3 linked regions of the Arabidopsis thaliana genome follow. The protein of the gene in region 2 interacts with the protein of the main gene of each other region in a pairwise test. Each region holds a gene or a part of one and is shown on either strand. Other genes may lie near its edges.

Region 1 (6,232 bases), on a different chromosome or scaffold from region 2:
ATCCTTAAACCGGAAAGAACCACATAATCTTCACTACTAATAGAATCAGGAGATAAAGGCCAAGAGGAGAGTGAAGGAGTCATCACAAGACAAACAATAAATAGCAGTCTGAATATAATTTAATTGTGAAGCTTGCAAACATTATTAGTGTCCAAAAAACAGCACTTGTTTTCATGTTTACTGAAATAGTAATGCTTATGTTGTTCCGTTTAAAGAACATGTGATGATCGCACAGAGAAGAGAGAATCACTGAAATAGTGTTGAAAAAAGAGAATGTTACATACCTATGATGAGAAAAGACAAAGACAAAGCGCACTGTGGAGGAATCAGAACTTAGCCTGCATTGTAAACCGCATGATCAAGACTAGTTACCGGTACACAGTGTTCCTGACTTCTTCAACGTTGTCCTTATCTGTCAACATTTCACATTTATGTTCATGTACTTGTTAAAAGACCCTAATAAGCTACCTACTTGATGTTGCTACTATAGAGTGAAGCAATTTGGTGTATACCTCCTGCATCAATCATGATACAATAGTGACATTGGAAACCTCTATGGAAAGAGAAAGTGCATGTGCTGCTAAATACTATCCAACTAACCATAAACAAGTTGGAGATAATTCAGCTTATTATAACATATAACTGGTGTTTCACTACGGAACACATGTGCTTAGTTCTACTTATACAACTAACACACACAGAATGCTTATGCAGCCCACATAGAGCTACTTCTTACCTCTCTCTCTTTCTCACTGTAAAATAAAAATGAAGGAATTAAAAATATAGAATAAACATAGTTTTAAACTAATTTGGAAATACATTTGTCTAACATTAAAATAATTTATACCAATAAGTTTATACTTAGTTACTTGCTAAATCAAATAAAGTGATGATTAGTGATTACATATGCCTATGATTACAAACAAGTGTAACTATGATTTATGCTTCGAACCCAATCATTTTGAGACGTTAGAAAGGGGTAATTTGGGGTCTTCAAACTTCCTTCTTGAATTTGTCTATTTTATACTCAAGTCCTCGGATGGGCTGTTCTGAAATCACTATAGTTGCATGTGTGCAATAACCCGGCCCATAAAAATTAATGCCAATTGTATTATTCCATTAGCCCATTAAGTCATCAATCATTACCACTAAATCTGCTATAAGATTAGCTTCTCTACCTCTAAAGTCTAACCAAAAAGAAAGTCGAAGATATCTTCATCGTTTGCATGTAATCTCCTTTACATGACCATGAAGTCCTTCTACCCATTATGTTTTGGGATTGCATTAATTAAGAACAGAATAGCACTCTCCCCAAAAGAATTCTTTGGAGCCGCAATTATTTAAGCAAAACATTGTCCGTGGATGATTCTTTACGAACGGGCCGTGATAGTTGTGCCAAGGAACATCTCTGTGGGAGAATTCAAAGCTAGTAGGATTCAAGCTCAAATGGACTTATTAAGCTAGGTAGAAATAATAGAAAGATTGAAATGAAATCGCTTATAAAAACTTTATTATGATGCAATTAATAGAAAAGAAAAAAGACTTTAACTTGTCAACAAGAATACAATGATTCAAAATTGATATTTTTATAAGGGGTTTGTGCAAAAAAAAATCATAATTAAGTCGCTAATTTTTTCAACTTTACCATTAATCTCTACAAAATACATAATAATCCTATAAAATACAAAATAAGACGCAATATAGCCCTATACATATATTGTAAATGTTTCTATGATCACATACATTTGCTTTTTAAAATTGTGAAAGTAGAGTTGGACTCCTCGTCTCGAAGATTTTAATTTGATATATTATTTATCAAAATTTTAAAAATTTAACTATAACAAAAAAATGAAGCTATATTGCATATTATTTTTGATTTCATACAATTATTTTGCATTTTTTTAGAGATAGATGATAAATTTGTAAAAATTGACGTCTTTGAAAGTTATTTTTGCACAAAATTCCTTTTATAAAGAAAAAGAAAAAAATTTGTTTTGAGACAACTCTTAAGATTACCTTACAATACATTGATATTTAAAAACAAATTTATATGAATCTCTAGTAGCTATCACCCTAGTTACATTGGCTAATGGATTTCTCATAATAGTTTTGGATCCTCTAATAATCTCTAGTTTTGGATCCTCTAATAATCTCTAGTATATGAAGGACGGAATTTCGATCATTGCTCTCAACTTGTTCATCAAAATCTAGCAAAATTGACATTTTCCGTCGAATATCACCCATATAAACTTAACCATAGTGGAAACCTAAAAATTCACCCCCAACTTTTACAAGAAAGTGATCTTTCTCATTCCTTCATTTGAAAGGTTTGACCTTAACGTTTTTGTTGTAGTCGAAGGAGTATCTTTCACAACATTGCTGATCTTAGAACAAATGTAACCCATTATTACCATAAGACTTATTTTTTCTTTTTCAGTTTTGACTTGTGCCTTTATGTTTAAGACACTAGTAGCCACATTTATTACGCTTTTTCACCGCAAAATTTAACACGCACTCTCTTTGTCGATCCCACAAACTCCATCTACCTAACCATGGTTAAAAATCATCAAACCTTGGTTCCCTTGATTAAAATATCCCTAAATCCAAGTCTCTTTATTATTTCATTTAAAATCATAAATTTAGTTTAATACAATTGTCCTTTTTCAAAATATTATTTCTTTATTTGCTTCAGCAACAGTCGTCATAGTCATCATATCATTTTCTTCTTTTCCTCCTCTAAACGAATATTACCAATAAAAAATCAAGTGGAAAATATGTAATATTAAAAAATCTCCAACAGCTTAAGAAGTTAGAACCTTTTTACTTATCTTTATTTCTTCTTCTTCTTCATTTTTCTATTCACATTCTCTGAAACTCATACCATATTTTCAAAGCTCTTAACCCAAAAACCCTAAGTCTTTTTTTTCTTCAAATTATTGGTTATATTAATGTTTTAAGCTATGATGGATATGACTCCTACAATAACAACAACAACAACACCAACTCCTAAATCACCCGAACCCGAATCCGAAACTCCGACCCGGATCCAACCGGCGAAACCCATTTCCTTTAGCAACGGCATCATCAAACGCCACCACCACCACCACCATCCTCTCCTCTTTACTTACAAAGAATGTCTCAAAAACCACGCGGCGGCTTTAGGTGGTCACGCTCTCGACGGTTGCGGCGAATTCATGCCGTCTCCGTCGTCAATCTCCTCCGATCCAACTTCTCTCAAATGTGCTGCTTGTGGCTGCCACCGTAATTTCCACCGCCGTGATCCAGATAACAACAACGACTCTTCCCAAATCCCTCCTCCTCCTTCCACCGCCGTAGAGTATCAACCTCACCACCGTCATCATCCACCACCACCACCACCTCCTCCACCACCACGTAGTCCTAACTCAGCTTCTCCTCCACCAATCTCTTCCTCTTACATGCTCTTATCTCTCTCCGGTACTAATAACAACAACAACAACTTAGCTTCTTTCTCCGATCTTAACTTCTCCGCCGGAAACAACCACCACCACCACCACCAACATACTCTTCACGGATCTCGTAAAAGATTCCGAACAAAATTCAGCCAGTTTCAGAAAGAGAAGATGCATGAATTCGCCGAACGTGTTGGTTGGAAGATGCAAAAACGTGACGAAGACGATGTTCGTGATTTTTGCCGGCAGATCGGAGTTGATAAAAGTGTTCTCAAAGTTTGGATGCATAACAACAAAAACACCTTTAACCGCCGTGATATCGCCGGAAACGAGATCCGGCAAATCGATAACGGCGGAGGAAACCACACTCCGATTCTCGCCGGCGAGATTAATAACCATAACAATGGACACCACGGTGTCGGAGGAGGAGGAGAGCTTCACCAGAGTGTTAGTAGCGGCGGTGGTGGCGGAGGATTTGATAGTGATAGCGGCGGAGCTAACGGTGGTAACGTTAACGGATCATCGTCGTCGTGAAGTTAAAGATGAGAGTGTCAGGTTAATAAGAAGCTTAGAGTAAGCTTATTCGTATTATCATCGTTAATAACTTTCTATTAAATATTAATTAAGATCTTTAGCTTTGTTTGTTTTTGCATTATTATTAGTTTTGATTTAATGTTCTTTACCACGTCGGTGTCTCGCTCGATGAGGAATAATACCATAACAATGTTCGAATTATATCATTTGTTGTAAACATTTCTATTAATGAACCCTGAAATGTGACTAAGTACTCCAATAAATGGTACACTTTTGATGTGGTAATCTTGTTTCGGATGAAGAAACAAAAAGATTAATAAACGAGTGAAACATGATTAGTTACTATAAATATTCATTTGGTTTCTTATCTTTTAAAGTACTCTTCTTAATTTTATTTGCAACCAAACTAGATGTAGTAGGTGTACTTTTTTTCTTTCTTAGATCCTCTTAATTTTATTTTATTTTTTTATTCTATATCAAATGATTAGCCATCATTAGTATATTAGTAGCATTGTTGTTAACACCCAGTGTTTTCACGTCCGACCCGGACCGTCCGGTCCGACCGGTTGAACCGTGACCCGAACACTTTTCCGGTTTGGGTTTAGTATTAAAATCCAACAAGTTCAAAACCGAAAAAACCCACAAAAACTCATCATTAACCCGTGACCCGATGAACCAGTTGAACTGGCCGGATGTGGGTTTTAAAAAATTCTCTTGATTTTGGAATAAAATATGAGATTTTAGACTTTATTCAATCAATTTTTAGATATTTTTCAGTTCTTAAACCCATTTGATGTTTAAGATTTTGATGAAGACTTCACAATGCCGCCTTAAAAAATGAATCGAATGGTGAGTGAGATATCCGATATTAGTTGTGTGAATTCACGATGTTTTATTAGTTTATTTCCATCATTGCTGATTTTTTACTATATTTGTTACGGTATTAGACATTTAGTTGGATTTAAAAAATTTCATCACTTTATTATTATTGTTTGATTATATATTTATATTTTTTTTTGATGTAAATGATTATTTTTGTTTTAAAATTTATAAGAACTCTAAAAACTCTAAAATCTCTATTAATATTAAATTTATTAAATAAATTTTAATCAATTGACCCGTAGTCTAATCTAATTAACCCGATGATCCAATGATCCAAAAGGTAGTCCGATTCACTGGGTTGGTTTTAAAAATATTGTTAACACCATTTCCTCTTTAATCTATGTCATTGTCATGGATTCATTCCGATAACCCATTTTTGGTATATATGCTTAGTTTTGATTATTCTCATTTGAGAAGTACAAACCAGCATATACCTTTTTATACTTAGAGATTGAATTAGTACAATTCATACTAAAGTTTGATATAACTATTATTATATCACATCGTAGCATCCATAAAATCTATACAACTTCTAAATAAGGGTTTAAGGCGTGGCACTAACACAAATGATTGAGTTGATGAATAATTTAACAATAACTTTCCATTTGGGGAAACGTAGGGATGAGTACTGATATGTCGGCTCTCACAATAAAGAATGAGATTAGGATATTATGGGTATCTCCCATACGGGTTTGTTACAATTATTTAAGCAATTCATTACTACTATTTCTTTATTTAATTTATATAACGCATTTAGTCAAGTCACAAATATCTTTCCGTATTATCTTGGTGGGGACAAAACTTTTGCACAAGCTGAGGTTATGGCCCTAACTGCCATATACCATGTGCACCACTTGTTAATTAATAGTATTATTTATTTTTGTATCAATTTAGCCATCAATTCACATTATCGCAAATAAAACAAAATTAGCCATAGTATAATTTCAACTTTTTTTCTTTCTAATTTATAAGAAAAATACATATATTTAGAACCGAAAATAAAAAATATGAGACTAAACAAGAAATTAAATAGAGAATTATATGTAACCTCAAAGTTAGAATGTATTATGTATAATATAATGAGTCTATCGGTAATTCCAGTATTTTGTAGGTACAAAATTGATCGGTAATTTCTTAATTTTTTTGGTTCAAAATAAATCCGCAATTTTTAGGAGGTAATTTATATTTTCTAGCTTTAAAATATAAAGACAATAAGTCTATCACCTTTTCAGTCGAAAATAGATTAGACATATATACTTTACTATCTTCCCAAAAAAAAAAAAAAAAAGAGTACATAACTATAGTCAGTTGTTTTATTGAAATAAGAAGTAATATTTTATTGAGTTACATTGTGAACTGCAAGAAAACAAATAATAAATGAATCA
Region 2 (8,488 bases):
ACAAGTAATACTTCTCACAGATTCTTTACATAACTACAGGTTAGATGATTGTTTATCTAAATGATTTCTTTTGGGCTACCTACAGGTTCATGATGAAGTAATCTTGGAAGGACCAAGTGAGTCAGCGGAGAACGCTAAAGACATAGTTGTGAACTGCATGTCTGAACCCTTCAACGGCAAGAATATTCTCTCAGTCGACTTATCTGTTGATGCTAAGTGTGCTCAGAACTGGTATGCTGGCAAATAAGAGGAAAATAGAAAAAGATCTTGCTAGTGAAAGCTAACAATGAGGCAGTGCTTGAGGTTTTTTTTTTTTTTGTCTCATTGGCTCTGAGAAAATCTGTTCATATGTGAGAAAGGGTCATTTTGTTTATGCTAATGAAAGCTAATTGTTGTCATCTTCTTTATGTTAAAAGATACATTGCTGTGTAAATTAGTAGGCTTGAAGAGTCGGTGTTTTTAATGAGAAAACAGAGTAATCTTATCAAAGAAAAGTGAACGAGTAGATGATAATAATTACAATCTCGCAAGAAGCTTCGAGGCAGTATCATGGCTTCCATTTCACCATGCATAGCTCTTCTGCGAGTTTATTCTCCTCTACCACCAAACTCAACAACACTTCTTCTACCCCACTTAGCCTCTCCTCTCGGTTTCTTGGAACTAGGGTTGTGAATCTCGGGATCAGACTTATCCGACTCGGACCCTCCAATAGGTCAGAGCCACTGCCTCGTTTAAGTTCGGAAAGAACGGCGTCGATGCTGAGAATGCTGGAATCTATGGCAGCCAGTCACGTGATGATTTTGACAGAGACGACGTCGAACAGGTTCGTGTTCACTTCAAGCTTCTAGAGTCAAATATGTCAATCTTTGTTTTGTTACAAGGGCGCTTATAAAAGCTTCCGTACGTGGTTGTGTCTGAGTTTGTGAATGAAGAAAACAGAGGAAATGTTAGATTTATTATTGTCGTTTCTGTGTTATTTGCAGTATTTTAACTACATGGGGATACTTGCGGTGGAAGGTACCTAAGATAAGATGCACCATGTCGACATCCTTTTAATGCTAGCAGTCTCGGAGGGAGACAAGCCTAAAATTGAAGAGCTTCTCAAACGCTGACTACACGGTTAAGGATGCTGACGGCAGAACCACTCTTGACTGAGCAAGCAGGGAGGAGATCCGTGACTTGATCCTTGAATCCCTCACTAAAGGCTTGACAAATAAGTAGTTTTCAATCGCAGAGTTAGCTTTATCTTACTAAGAAAGTGATGTCCGTTTTGGTAACTCTAGTTGAAATCTCAGTCGTCTCCATGTTTCTACGTTAAGTTAGGTCGAAACCCTCAGGGAGCGACAATTTTAAAGTAGAGATTGATCTTATACAGTTATACCAAAAGTTAACCTTTTTCTCTTACCAATCGTTCATCATCATTTATTATATAACAAGCAAGCAAAAGATTTCTAAATGATGTCTGAGATTATCACCAGCACGGTAGAAAGCATACATGAAGCAGCTCAAACATCTCTAAAAACCCTGAGAAACGCAACTATCTAATCTTGTGATTTACTCGTTTCTGCTTGACTCTGATTTCATTCACTCGGCAGAATTCTCGTGCAACAGTACGTACTCTCGGCTGCAACCAAAAGAACAAAACATGTCAAGAACAGAAGAAAGTAGATGTTAACTGCACAGCAAGCAAAGATTAATCACAGAGAATAGGCACGGGGTATGATTCATAATGGGAAACCAGAACTAGAATGTGTCTTCATTAGAATACCTGCTGTTGCCAAACTTTATGGTGTCTTTCTCAAAAAGCTCATAATATCTTTGTGGCTCAATGGGACTTTCCTGAAAAAGTAAAAGAAGTTCTAATCACAAACGTTTGAATTAACCATGATAAAGAAGCACATAAGAAGGAATGTAATTGAGCACTTACATTGATATAAGTTTTGTTGGTACTACCAAGATCCATTATGTAAGGCCTGGAAAGTGACATTAAGGGAAATTAAAATTTAGCTTAAAGCCAGAAGAGGTACAAATTTTAAGCAAAATGAAAGAGCAGATAGGTTTTACTTCACTTGCTTCCCCATCATACCATCTGGTTTCTCCTTTTCCATTTCCCTGAGAAAAGCACATTCACAGTGACATAAATATTAAACTAAAAACCTTATTCTCATTAAATCTATTGTCATAGATATTACTACTTAAAAGGAGAAATACATGTCAGAACCCTACCGGTACTGAATGACAGCATGCTGCTTGCTGCAAGATGGGTGATCCGTAGGAATGTCGGCAATCCTTCTTTCACGTCCAAAGAGGTAGCAGCTTTGGCGGTGAAGGCAGAGTGGCTCTGTTAGTCCAACACATTTCACATGCACAGAAACATACATCAAGAAAACTGATTCAGGGCATTCAGAATTATTAAGCAAACAGAAATGGGAAACAAAATGTAAAATCTTATATACAATGTTCAGGGGTTCAAAGTAAGAATGACACGGGAAGCCACAGTCACAAACATATCAGATCAAAGGAGCTATTTTTCCTCTAAGAGTCATTAACATTCATAATAAGATTCATTCTAAGAAAATTGACAAGTTCTAAGAAGTATCAAGCTATAGTTTGGCTACTATCGGTAATCACGCTGTTATCTGGACACTAAACCATCAATGACCACAGTTTTCAAGTTTACATGGCTAGAGTGCATCAAAATTTCTTGAGTATCTCTTTCATTGCCACTACATGCTTTACTGCATATTTTGTGGACAAAAAATTGACGTTCACCACAGTAAGATAGTTAAGTGAAATACATAGAAGACAAATGAACCACTACTTAGACAGATGGATAGAGATGTGGAAGACGTCAAAGACTCACCATTCAGTGGTTCACCATCCTTAAAAACATACAGTCTCCATCGTTCGCTGGGTTTTCTAGCCTCTGGGGGCTCATTGAAGAGGAGTGTGATACCTGCAAAGGATTCACTCAGTCAAGGAAGCTAAGCATGCCTATGGTGAAATTTAATGCGAGAAACCACCGTCTCCATTCCTAGGAGCAAAAGCGGATTGGCAGTCAAAAGATATCTGCTGATAGCAGATGCTTATATATTGAAGCTTCTAGTCTCATTAGATATTGACCAAAGAAAGCTTTTACCCAGTGACAGACACGTACGCATACAAAATTAAGTAAATATGACCTGACAACAAAGGCAGATGTTTCGCAGTTCAAACATGCAATGAAAACACTATGGCAAAAGTTTCTAGCACAAGGTAATGGTAACAGGTGATATTCTTAAATGAAATGGACGGATCAGAAGTTTCACCTCTGTATCTGTTAGTTTCTTCAGCAAGTTTCCCTGATAGCTCAAATGATGGTTCTTCCTACAAGATATATCAAAATTAGATTTGAAGCGTTAGCATTTATGCATGGATGAGCTAAGCGAGCTCAAAATGACATTGGAAATTGAAAATCAATAGGGCTTGATATAATACCTTTTTCTTCGCTGCCAGAGCCTCTTCAACTGCTCTCATTCTCGCGACTGAATCTTCCTCGACATTTCTGTTAACGAAAACCCATAACATGGTTAAAAGAAAGACTGAAAAATTGTAACGGCTAATCTAATAAGAAGAAAACTCACGGCTCCTCGCTGCCCCCTCTTGCATTAGACCCCTGAAAAGACAAAAGGCGATAAAAATGACTGAAGAAGTAACAAAAATCTGTGGCTCGCAGAAAATGATAATTTGCAGAAAGCAACCATAATCTATATAATGAGCTTTTACTAAAAAGAGAGAAACATGAGAAGTGATGTTACTGGACATGCTGAAGGGAAACAAAGAGACTATCTTTCTTAAGTCCTTTAGCAACAGAGTAAGCAAAAAATGGCTGGCTGCAGGTTCTAGTTATAGACTCACGAGATGGATAAGCTAGATTACAGGATTCCAATTATTTATTATGTGACGAAACAAGCAGCAGAGGCTAACCTTTTCTAGCATACATCAGAGCTAAACAATTTCAATCACATTTATCTTTTCAAGCAGAATACGAATATGCACAAGTAAAACCCAAAACAAAAAAAAAAACACTTCTGAGATTAAGAACATATCCAAGCTAAAGAAAGAAGCAGAAATACCTCATCATGCCTTGAGGCAATAGCTCTTTCAGGTGAACGCCTACTACTCCTGTGACTCCTATCTGACGGTGAAGTAGACCTCTCATGTCTTCCTCTAGAGTATCTCTCATCATCTGTTCTTGTCCTTCTCCTTTTTTCAGTATCCTCTCTCCCTGATCGTCTTCTCTTATCCCCAACTTCCCTATCTCTTTCTCCTTCTCCTTTTCTCTCCCTATCCCTATCTCTTCCTATATCTCTATCCCTTTCCCTACTGTTTCTCTTCTCCCTTTCTCTACCATCATCTTCTCTCTCTCTACTTCTCCCAATTTCCTTCTCTCCTCGAGCTCTTCTCAGTCTCTTCGTACGTGGTGAAGGAGACCTAGAACTAGGAGCCATTATTGGAGTCAGGGTCGTTTTCTCTCTTCTTTGCCTTTGGAAAGATCACAAATTGAAACCAGGGTCAGAAGGAAAAGGCATGTGAGCTCCAGATAACACAGTAAACCCTAATTCCCAAATGCATAGAAACTAGAAATGGAGCAAAAGCCCTAAACCAAAAAACGTAAGCTACAGATTTCAAATACTAAATTCAGAAGTTCCGGGCATAGTCTAGGGTTGCAAGAATCGTTAAGAGAAAAAATCGCTGCATAACGAGAAAGAAAAATTTTACCTGGTGGCCGGAACTGTGACTACTTCGGCGGAGAGAAGAGGAGAGAGTGAATAATAATAATCGCAGAGATAAAAAGAATCAGAGCCAAAACGAGAAGAATCATTTATTTGGCCTCTTTTGCAAATAAATGGAAACTGAGGGGTTCAATATCAAACAAATTGTAGACGGTATGGTAAAACTTCCATTAGTTGACACGTGTCATATCTTGTTTGGTAGAAAGGATATGTATAATTAGGGCAGAAGCCGCTTGTAACGTCGTACCCTTGTACTTCCTTCGAGATTTTTGTTTCTTCGTCCTAGTTTGCAACAAAGATTTTATAATTGATCATCAAACAAATCGGTGAGCCTGTAACAAATCGAGTGCACCAGCTTTACCACCAACTTTGATAGGATAGAAGACAAATACAAGATCATAGATATAGTTGAGGTGGATAGCTAAACGACATAAACCATCAGAAGTGACAGTGATCTTGTTCTGATTGTAACAGAGTGCACCAGGTTTACCACCAACTTTGATCCTCTCATGAAGGAACTTGTGGAGAGAAATTTTCAACTTCGAGGAACATATGTCCTGAAATCCCATCTGTAGTTCTCCTTACTACCGATTTGTAGTCGCAACTGTTGGCCTTGAAGCTTATGTGGAAGACAGCATTCATAGACTCGAGCTTTAGAGACGGGTCAGTATGAGTTTCTCGGGTGATGCTTTGGTTTGTCGGGTGATGGCTCATCGAATCCCAAATCATGTCTCCTTGTTTATTTGATGTATCTTTAGTTTCATGTATATACTAGTGTACGCCAATATTATAGACGATTAAAAACTAATTCTTGTTTACGTATGAACAAAACGATATGTACTTTGTCATTATTATATTTTTTGTCAAAGATTGAGAATATTTATTTTTTTCGCATCATAGACACACAAACAAATGTTGTCTAATGATCTACCAGCCGGCTTGTATATCTAATTCAAATATCGGTCATGCATCATGCACTTCATTAGTATCTTATGTTTTGCAAAATACTGGCTAGACTGTCACATATATCAGAATCGGTCACCGTCACCTTCTTCGTTATTGTCATACGGTTTCACTATGACAAAGTCCAAATTAGGTCAAATTTTAAGCGAACATACGTAGCCTCTTACGTCATAGATTGCTGATGAAAAAGAGGCAAATTATTATAACAACCATCAAAGATTCGGTACTAACTTTACAAATTCACACAATTCGTATCTCACAATCTAAAAGTGCAATATGTCGTACATGTTTTGTAAGCTAGACAATAGTAAAATAATTATCCTGCCGGACTATAAAGGTTCGAGAACGTGGACCGACTATATTTATATATCAATTAGCTATTTGTGGTGTTAGCCTAATGTTGCCTTCATCACGTTTTCTGTTTTTTTGTTGAAGGATTTTCAAATAGATGAATTGACTATCATCACCTTGTCACGTTATAAACCATATATATTATCGTTAAACACTTAGTAGCAGTTCCCCACGAATTACATGTCTCCATCATTGACAAATTTATATTTTTGTTTGTAAGAACACTTTTTCCTTCCTCAACAAATTCTTGTACTTAATACAGATATATACTTATAAATGTTACATCAAACGCTAGATAACGGAGAATATAAGCTAAAATGAAATTAATATATCTTGTTTCAGCTTCTATCGAAATTATTTTCATTAATGGACAATATAAAATTTGATCCTTATCTACTGTTTCTGTGAATTTGTGATTATCATCAGGCAAATGTATCATTAGGCAAATGTTTTTATCTAAATTAACACTTTTATTGGAAAACTACCAAAATACATTTAGGTTCACCCATCAAAAGTACTTTATGTTGTTATGTTATATATTGTGTGCTAACTAAAAAGATTACAATTTAGCAAATCTCAAGTTGATGTGTACATTTATAATCTCCACTACAACAAGAAGGTGATCCACTTCTCTTGTATATCTTTATTTGTTCTTGCACGTACATAAAGAAATCAAACTGTTCAACTGCCATTTAGAATATTAAAACCAACAAAATAATATTATAACAAGTAAATACTTAAACAATAATAAGAACAAAGGGCCAAAATCGTGCCAAACCTACAACATTCCTGACCTCTGCCTCCCCCACTATATAGAGGTCACATTTGAGAGAATTAGGCAAATAAAAATCTAAGAACCATTTTAATAGCTTCTCACATCTCTCTATTATAATATCAAACTACTCTTCACCAGCCCTCTTAATTATCTAAGAAAGTCTCAATGGAAAACTCAGCACTAAGCAACTGTGTGAGGCGAACAAATTTCTCTAATCAACAGAGAACTATGCAAGAGGGTCTAGAAGAGAGTAGTTGGACAATGTACTTTGAAACAGAAGATGGATTAGGCCATTACGATGATTCTTCAATGATGTCAGACGCTGCTTCTCCTATGGGTTGTGTCGAAGAAGACACCGCTTCATCTCCTTCTAACAGAACCGAGGTTAGTCCAAGAATAAGACAATATATCTTACTATGTTCATGATACATACATTGATACACACATTACACATACATATATAGGTTAGTCTAAATGGCTATGCTTGTCTCTTCAGGGTTACAGTGGAATGGAAGACAATACGATAGAAGAAAAAACCATGAACAATGGTAAGATTGAGGTAAGAAACTTCATGTTTTCTAATATATCTTTTCATAAATGAAAGTTATTTTGGCGGCTAACAAAAATATTCATACGGGATTTGTAGGAGAAAATATTGAATAAAAATGGGATAAAGATTGAAGAATACTGCGCAGAATTGAAGAAGAGAGGACTTTGCTTAGTCCCTTTGTCGATGTTATCTAACTATATTGGTTGAAACTTTGATTACTCTTTCAATCATATACATATTCTTTATTGTGATTATATATCTTCCTTTCTCTGATTATTTTCTGTAAATTATAGAATGGACTAGTAAATGTAGTGAAAGTCAAATCAAGGGTTGCATCATGTATCGCATGTATGTATGTGTAATGGGTGTATCAATGTATGTATCATGTTTCCATGTGTGTAACAGTGTTAACATGTTTCCATGTGTGTAACAGTGTTAACATGTTTCCATGTGTGTAACAGTGTTAACATGTTTCCATGTGTGTAACAGTGTTTTGGTACAATCAAGTACATATGTATTTTGGAACGCCTTTGTAATCCAATGATTGAATGATCCGGATTTAGAACACTTCATTAGAATTACCAACAACCTTTAGCCAAGTGGGTGTGTCACTCCTCGTGGTCTGATCTCTTGTCCTTGGAAGTTTTTTTTCTTTTTCTCTTTAGAGTTTGGATATACTTCTATAGAAAAATTTAACCGACTATAAATCCGTGAGATTCTAACCTATGCTTTACTACAAGTAGATCTTTTCGTGTCTGTGAGAAGGCTTCAATTTCTTCATCAAAGTCACCACAATGACCATCATGTTGTCCATCGATTTATTCATGAAAGATCTTTCGATTTATTGTTATCTCATATGTGTCAAAATGCTACTTAAACTTTGTCTTCAACCTCTCATATAATCCTTGTTGATCTACATTATCTATCTTGTTGTGGTATTGGGGAATGTCTTTATTTGTTATATCTTAAACTTTGGAATCTTTGAATCCTTGTTAATCTTTCTACTTGGATTCATTTGAAGGAATGAAATCAAGTATGATGCACACAAAAAAAAAAGATGTGCTTTAAGATCCA
Region 3 (7,902 bases), on a different chromosome or scaffold from region 2:
TAAACCTTTTGTAGGTTTATGAAGTGTTTGATTTTTCAGATAAAATGAGAATCAAGTTCGATGTACCATGTTCACATGTGACTTTGTACTATTTCGAATGTTTCTTGGCAAGTAATTTCGAATCCTTTTCGTAAGTAGAACTAATTCCACATGTCACAAAAGTGTTGACTTACCTATAGAAAAGGCAGAGGAACACATACACACACACAAACGCTTACTAAACTCAAAAGTCAGAATGATAAGGTCACAAACTACGTGCAAACCATTTCATCGGTCCCCATCTAACATCCTAAAATTGAAAAATCAAACCTTATATTTTTTCCTTGAATTCTCATTTTATTTGAATATATTTTCGATCTATAGACACACATTAATCATGATAGTAACCACATGTCAAAATCTTAGGACAAAGATAGAACCGACATGTAAGTCACTACTTTTGCCATGAACGTGCTTACCATTTTCTTTTATATTCCTACTACTTATATCTCTATCCTCTCCATATTTTTTACCCGTAAAATTATAAACCCATTTTCAAAATCTGATCTTTTTTTTTTCGTTGACAAATCTAGTTATGCCTCCTCCGGCAATGCTTGCGTTTGACGATGGTTTAGCCCGGAAATCTAACGATAATGAGTGGCAAGGTTTCAGAGTTTTTCCAGGAGAAAATACTAACCCTAACCCTAATATAAATTTCTTGGTTAAGAAGGCAATTCTGCAGAACGAGAAATCAATCACTCCTCTTTTCTCCCGTTCGTCGGCAAGAGATGATAGCTTCAGAATTGTGTTGCCGCCGGCGTTGCCTCCTCCTAGAGACTCCACCGTTCCGCTTCCTATGCTTCCGGAGCCGATGAGAGTCCGGAAGAAGCTTAGCCACCAAGAATCAGTCATATTTATGAGCAAATCGCGTTTCGCAGAGAAAATCCTCTACAAGGAAGAAGATTTCAAATGTAACGCCTTCTGCTTGTCTCTACCTGGCTTCGGAAAGAACAAGCTGATTAGATCTTCTTCGAAACGCCAAAATTCTATGGAGAAGAAGATGATCAGAGCTTCTTCCTTCACGGGATCAACTGTTTCTGTACGCGCCTCGCTAGAGAAATTCGAATGCGGTTCTTGGGCATCGACGACAGCTCTTATTCAAGATAACGGTCGGTTGTTTTTCGATTTTCCGGTTGAGATGACGAAGTGCAACAGCCGCGGTGGAAATGGAGGAAGAGATGTGCAAGAACCGGTGACCTCTGGTTTCTTATTCGATAGAGAAACAGAGACTTTGGCTCTGAGAAGCGTTTTAAAGACGAGGAGTACTCGTGATCACCGGAGATCAGCTGAGTCTTCACCGCAACGTCGTGTTAGGTTCTCGACTTCGTCTTCATCGGCTTCAGTTTCGTGCCCTACTTCGCCTCGAACTTGTATCACTCCACGTTTGCGTAAGGCTAGAGATGACTTCAACACCTTCTTGACCGCACAAAACGCTTGAATAAGGAAAACAAAAACAGAACACAGAGTTTTATTTATAATATGTATGTATGAAATGAGTGTAATGTATCTACGGATGATGTGTAAATATTATGGAGAGAAAGAGAGTGTTGAGTCTTTGAGAAATCAAAATCGATAAAGGGTTTATGATTCTAAAACAACTCAAAAAGTATAATTTTTAGTGTTTGCTTAGAAGCTCTATCTCCAATTTTTGAGGGTTTGTTTGGCTTTGTTGAATCTTTATGAAATAAATTTGACCAAGAGTAGATGATTATGAGAGTATTTTATAATCTATGTGCTTCACTTTTGCATCGAAGATCTGTTTTCAGACTTTAATCTACAATTTTTAGAGTGTACTCAATGAGGTATCAAAATCAATGAAATGATGGTTACTAGAGTAATTGCAAAAATTCATGTATGTTTCCAAGCTCTGTTTGTGACTTGCCTTTTCAGGTTTTAAGGTTTATTTTTAGGCTATTTTCCGTTAATTTTTTTGGTTGGTTTAGGAGATCAAAAACTTCATAAAACTGGACAAAGTGTTGGTAACATAACCTAAAAACTGTATAAAGAGAGCATAATACGATATTCAGACCCAAAACGCCAAATAACGCAAACTCGATAAGGAAAAGAGGGTTTAATGGGTTAGTGAATTCTTCAGCGTTTTCAAAACGGTTGATTTCAGTTTCTTGTATCGTAGATGACACGAACAACGTCAACAATCTGAGCTCTGCAAATCGGACATTTCCCTCCACTCCAATGTAGTTCGTTGGCACATTTTAGGCACATGCACATATGTCCACACCTGTACAAAACCGCCTCGACCTGTGTTTCGTCGCAGACGCAGCATTTTCGTTTCATTGGGTTTTCTTGGTGAGCCTTGTGTTGCAAGCTCGCGTTAGCATCTAAACACGTTTTGACAGAATCTCGTAGTACTGACATTTCTTGCTGAAGCTGTTGGATCTGTGATCTCATACCGCTTATCAGCTCCATTTCCTGAAAACGTTTATATGCGGCTCAATGAGTTTACCACTAGTGCGGTTGCGAGTTTCTATAGTATAACAAGAAATCGATAAACACTCACAGGTGACTGAGGATTCTGAACAACCAAGGCAGGAGTGGAAGTAACATCAGTGTCTTGAGAACTCCATGATCCTGCAGGAGACGATGCAGATATATGTGAAGACGACGATTGGCTCAAGTCATCTCTATCATCTTGCTCTTCACCTCCTCTTAATGGCTCTTCTTTGATTTCTTCATCAATTTCAAAATTTACTTCCTCCTCTTCTTCTTGTTGCAATTCCCATTTTTTGGAGTGCTTATCCGAGTGTGTCTGTACACGGGACATCATGAGATTATCGATCTTCTCTCGCAACCCGCTGTCGAGGAAATCTGTCACCGTTCTTCTGTATTAAGCAGGGAAATTCATTTTCTTAGTCAGTTATTAACCATTAAGAAACATGAGCTTGTCAATTTTGATGGTTACTTACCGCTCAAGGAGTCTGCATATGTCATCTTTCTCAGACCTAGTGTTCATTACTTCCAGGTACCGTGACTTCCTCAATTCCTCCCAGTAACTCCGAGGCCTAGCTATTTCACTAAGCCAGTCGTCGTTATATTCTCCATAATAAGACTGCTCATCTGCATACTCTTCTTGTTCTCCCCATCTATTCAAATAGGATGTTTCTTGTTGATCAAGGCACTGGTCCATCTCATTACTCTCATGAACTAGACCTTCTGTTTCTCGAGTTTCTTGCATATACTTTCCCACATTGTTCTCGTCTTGATTCTGTCTCAACCGCGATTCTCGAGATAAATATTCACTCGGGCTAGTATTTTCTTCTTCTTTCTTTTCAGACTTGCCATCGTTGCAAGTTTCTTCTACTTCTCTTGTTTCTTGCAGCTGAAGGCAATTCTTTTGTGAATCAACTGTTCCACTTACAGATTCTTCTTCCTTACATAACGTTGCTTCCTCTATCTTGCGGTTACGGGGTCTCAACCGCTCTGCGAAAAAAGCTTCGAGAGTAACACCACCATCCTTTAACCTCGTGCTTGTGGTAGTAGTTCCTTCTGTTTCTTCTACGGATTTGTTGTTCATCTCAGTGGATCGTTGATGATTCTTCCTCTTATCTGTTGCAGCCGCAGAGTTTACTACGTTCGCATGAAATTTCTCCCTGCGTTGCCAATCAAAGATTGAAAATCTGAAGAAAGTAAACCCTAAGAACTAAACTCAAAACATAAAACAGAGAATCTGAAAAAACCTTAAATGCAGAACAGCAGAGCCTGATTCAATTCGGTTTAATCCGGTTGTTTTTGCGTTAGACCGGTTTCTATCTTGAATCACAAGACAGCGATTGAGGTTCCTTAACCTTAGCATTGACTGGTTAAATAATGTAATTAGAAAAACCATTTAGTGGATTATGAATAAAGTCACAAATATGTTAGTTATTTTTATCAAAATAGTGAAAATATAATTTACCTGGAGACGACCACGTTGAGTAAACCTAGAAACTGCGTTGCGTTCAAAAAGCGAATCCAATTCACGGTGGCGATCACGTTCCATTTGCATAAGAAAATCGGTAAACGCTTGTCGTCCTCGTATCTTCGGAGAGAAACTAACCACCGGAAAATTACTTTTCTCCGATGACGACGAAGTGCAATAAGGCCTCGGCGTTCTGATAATCTCGAGTCCACCGCCACCGCCGCTGCCATTATCTCCAGCGGTTCGTTTCTTGTCTTCGTTGCTAAGCCTCCGAATTAGGTCAGCGACTCGTCCCCATTTACTTTCTCCGGAATCAGAAACCAAACCATGTGACCTAGATTCAATCTCCACCGTTCGATCAGCAATTTCAGAATCTCCATCGATTGATGAAGATTCTGAAAGACCGGAATCTTGAACACTAACTCCTGAATCGCTCCGACTACTACTACTCGCCGTAGATTGACTGCTACTCGGCGAGTTTCCACCGTTGGATCGGTTTAGCCTCGCCTCCCATATCTGAACCAAAGAAGAAGCCACAAGATTGTCGTTTCTCTTCGATTCTAACGGAGATTCAAGAACACGATTGTTCTTGTTATTGTGAGTTTCGATCCAAGAATCAACTAAATTCTCATCGGAGACATGAGATTTCAAAACCTCTTTCACCGGAGATTTCAGATTCTTTTGAAAAACGCCAGCGTTTTGGTTACGATCTCTTAAGATTAAACCGAATCTCTGAGGAGAAGACACCATTTTTTTACGATCTAAGAATCGAACAAACGAACATAAAATCAAATAATCATTAGAGTTTTTGAATCGATCGAAAGAAGTTAGAGGACAACTCTGTTTTCTCTGTCTCTCTACAAGAAGAAGAGAAAATGGATTTGTGTTAGTGAAGAGACAGATTTTTCTCTCTGTTTTTTTTTCCTGTTAAAGAAACAGAACAACAACAAACAAACGGTGGAGATACGATGATGATGAAGAAGCAAAACAGAACCAAACAGTATTTGTGCTTATCTATTTAGTAAGAGGACTTATAAATGTTAAGAGTCCTAAAATGGCTCTGTTTTGTCCCTTAAACTGGGGAACGTGTCTGTAAAACAAGGCAATAAAGAATGAGGTGTAAGAATACAGAGAAAGAAAAGCCTTATGTGGCCAAAAGTGATAAATTGTTATAGAAAAATAAAAAAGCTACTTATAATTTTGGACAAAATTGAATTTGAAAGATATTGTATAACACATGTCATTATACTGGTAAAAGCATTTAATTGTGTAATGCATGAAAAAATTAACATTGGATTGTTATACTAATTAAAGGGTGATTAAATTATTTAATAATTAAGGCTCCTAAATATGCTAGAGTCAAAAAGGAGCCGTTGAGGAATTTAGCCGTTGTCGAGTGGGAACCATGCACTTTCTGGATTTTATGCCACATCATAAATCAAATTGAAGAACTAAAGATAACAAACAATTTTAAATTGTATAACTGACAGGAACAAAAACTTTTAAGCAAAGTAAAAATAATTTAATTAGAGAAAATTAGATGTTCAACCCAAGTTTCATGTAGTGTGCGATTTTATTGTAGTGTGGTCAATAGGCCCAGGCATAGTGGTCAATGTCGTGCTTGGGTTAGTCGAATAGAGAGAGAACTTAGGACGAGTTGTGATTTGTGACTCTTATAAAACGATTTAAGAAAAAATAGTCTCTATACAAAATAACGATAATTGAAACCAATAATAAGGTTCACAACCGATCATTTTCGGATCCCGATGAGTTAACGATTAGTCAACGATAGAGTAAAACGACCGATTAATCGAGACTTAGTGTCTATGATATTGGCACATACGACATATATTTCGTATATATATTTCAGGTAACTGGGTATCGTTTATATTAGTTGCGGCATATGTGATAATGTATTCTTCCACACTTCGTATAGCTAGCTGACAATCTTTTTTCTTAAAGTTTAAGTATTAGGAAGTATTATCCGGTAGATAAAGAAGATGGACGATTGAAAAAGCGATTGATACGATTTTTCTTCTGTGATTTTTCCGACCGGCCGGCGTTGGTTCCGACTTCGATTGTACTCTTTTCTCCTTTATAATTCTAGCAAATATTAGTTTACATACATATATTTCAGTTATTAACAATGAGTTCTAGAGAATCAACTGCTTTTGGTTGGCCTCTTTTCACACTGTTGGCGATTTTCATGACCCAAAAATTGAGTTTTCTACAATTATTTGTAAGAAATATAAATTATAAAAACTAGAAAAATATATGAAAAAGTTTAAGGTTTTGACTAGTGAGAATTTGTTGTATAGTTCAAAAAAACTCAAAATTTGAACGTTTGAAAACTTGTTGAGATGCATCAATTTTCAATAAACGTAGCCTATGGTGAATTGTTTTTTTTTTTTTGTCAACATGTCTCTAATGGACCTATTTTTCCGTGCTAAAAAATGTGCAGAGGTAATATCGCTATTTTTGTTAGAGGATCTGAGCAAATTCATTATTAATGATTGTGCAAAAAATTTGTTAATTTCGATATATCACATTTTGCTTTACGGATTACTCGAAAACATACTTTGATGTCATCATCCAGTGTATATATACGTATGTTAATTGTAGACAACAAAATAAAATAATAATAGTCTCACATAACCGACCAAAAAACAAACAAAATTAAATCAATGGAAGTTGTTGACAAATAAATTTTACAATTAATCTAATCCAAATAAGTCAAAACCCTGATTTCAGTAATGTAAAGATCATTATATCATTTTTTCTCTTGTAAAAAGGTTTTTTAAAATTATACTATTAATATATATCATTTGATCAAAAAAAAATTATATATCATAAACATTATATACGACATGCAGGCAAGTCACTCGAATATTCAAATCTTAAAGTTGTGCCTCCCACGTAAAAGCATCACATTAGTTTCCAAACCCAATTGTATATATAAATTACTACACAACACACCTCTCATCAAACAAATTCATCAAAGCCAATCAAATTGAGAGAGATATCAAGAAAGCAAAATAATGAAGTTGGCCGTGGTCTCAGTCGTTGTCATACTCGGAGTTCTCGTGGCTTGGCCGGTATCGGCTGGCCGAAAAGACTTACCTGGAGCGGGAGGATACGGAGGCGATGACGATGATGATACAAAGTCATTGTTCCCTTTGGACAACCTATTATCGTTGAATTATTATGATAGGATTTGTCCAGATTTTGAGAAAATCGTTGTTACGAAAGTGAGGGAATGGACTAAGAGTGACTCTTCCCTTGGTCCCGCCCTCCTCCGCCTTATCTTCCACGATTGTGGCGTCACGGTATTGCAATTAATCGTTCAATTATATATAGCCAATGTTTTGATTCATATATGATTTACATTGTTCTAAAAATGGGTTTCACTATTACTCTATTAGAGATTAGAATTGTTCTTCCGTCTATCTAGACCATACTTGGAACATTGATAGTATATAGATATAAGTTTCTTAATATTGAAGACGGACTTGCGCACTTTATTCTGTGTATAAACGCATCTGAGTGTTTTGCGCATATCTAATATAGTTATGCATTTTAAAAGATAACAACTTGACATTTTTGTACATGAATTAACACAACTTTCAGGGATGTGATGCGTCTGTTCTTCTAGACTACGAAGGGACAGAGAGAAGATCTCCGGCTAGCAAAACACTAAGAGGCTTCGAGCTAATTGACGATATCAAGTCCGAGATGGAGAAATCATGCCCCGGCAAAGTATCCTGCGCCGACATCCTAACATCAGCCAGCCGTGCCGCCACCGTCCAACTTGGTGGTCCTTACTGGCCCAACGTCTACGGTCGTCGTGACTCCAAACACTCTTACGCTAGAGACGTAGAGAAAGTCCCTTCAGGCCGTCGTGATGTTACCGCCCTTCTCGAAACGTTTCAGTCATACGGTCTCAACGT

The links. Proteins that work in one complex are often made in the same cells at the same time.
Region 1: the proteins of DDL (region 2) and HB23 interact in a two-hybrid assay, tested with the Arabidopsis thaliana proteins (one large-scale study listed by BioGRID).
Region 3: the proteins of DDL (region 2) and AT1G30860 interact in a two-hybrid assay, tested with the Arabidopsis thaliana proteins (one large-scale study listed by BioGRID).

The regions. Positions count from the first base shown.
Region 1 is NC_003076.8:15,908,583-15,914,814, forward strand, and holds HB23 (homeobox protein 23), read left to right. Parts: upstream 1-2,767; 5' UTR 2,768-2,960; coding exon 2,961-3,965; 3' UTR 3,966-4,278; downstream 4,279-6,232. UniProt on the Arabidopsis thaliana protein: Putative transcription factor. Probably involved in establishing polarity during leaf development through the gibberellic acid (GA) signaling pathway.
Region 2 is NC_003074.8:7,173,111-7,181,598, forward strand, and holds DDL (SMAD/FHA domain-containing protein), read right to left. Parts: upstream 4,911-8,488; 5' UTR 4,762-4,910; intron 4,525-4,761; 5' UTR 4,491-4,524; coding exon 4,116-4,490; intron 3,656-4,115; coding exon 3,624-3,655; intron 3,545-3,623; coding exon 3,478-3,544; intron 3,367-3,477; coding exon 3,309-3,366; intron 2,957-3,308; coding exon 2,864-2,956; intron 2,342-2,863; coding exon 2,227-2,341; intron 2,113-2,226; coding exon 2,065-2,112; intron 1,974-2,064; coding exon 1,928-1,973; intron 1,840-1,927; coding exon 1,769-1,839; intron 1,625-1,768; coding exon 1,585-1,624; 3' UTR 1,326-1,584; downstream 1-1,325. Other genes in the region: POLGAMMA1 (polymerase gamma 1), read left to right, coding at 1-4, 86-247; AT3G20555 (uncharacterized protein), read right to left, coding at 5,090-5,281, 5,364-5,504; AT3G20557 (uncharacterized protein), read left to right, coding at 7,030-7,248, 7,361-7,423, 7,511-7,621. UniProt on the Arabidopsis thaliana protein: Involved in the microRNA (miRNA) and short interfering RNA (siRNA) biogenesis. May facilitate DCL1 to access or recognize primary miRNAs. Binds RNA non-specifically.
Region 3 is NC_003070.9:10,984,542-10,992,443, forward strand, and holds AT1G30860 (RING/U-box superfamily protein), read right to left. Parts: upstream 5,053-7,902; 5' UTR 4,706-5,052; coding exon 3,953-4,705; intron 3,854-3,952; coding exon 3,735-3,853; intron 3,648-3,734; coding exon 2,964-3,647; intron 2,880-2,963; coding exon 2,558-2,879; intron 2,470-2,557; coding exon 2,155-2,469; 3' UTR 1,955-2,154; downstream 1-1,954. Other genes in the region: RSH4 (root hair specific 4), read left to right, coding at 575-1,477; AT1G30870 (Peroxidase superfamily protein), read left to right, coding at 6,994-7,281, 7,583-7,902.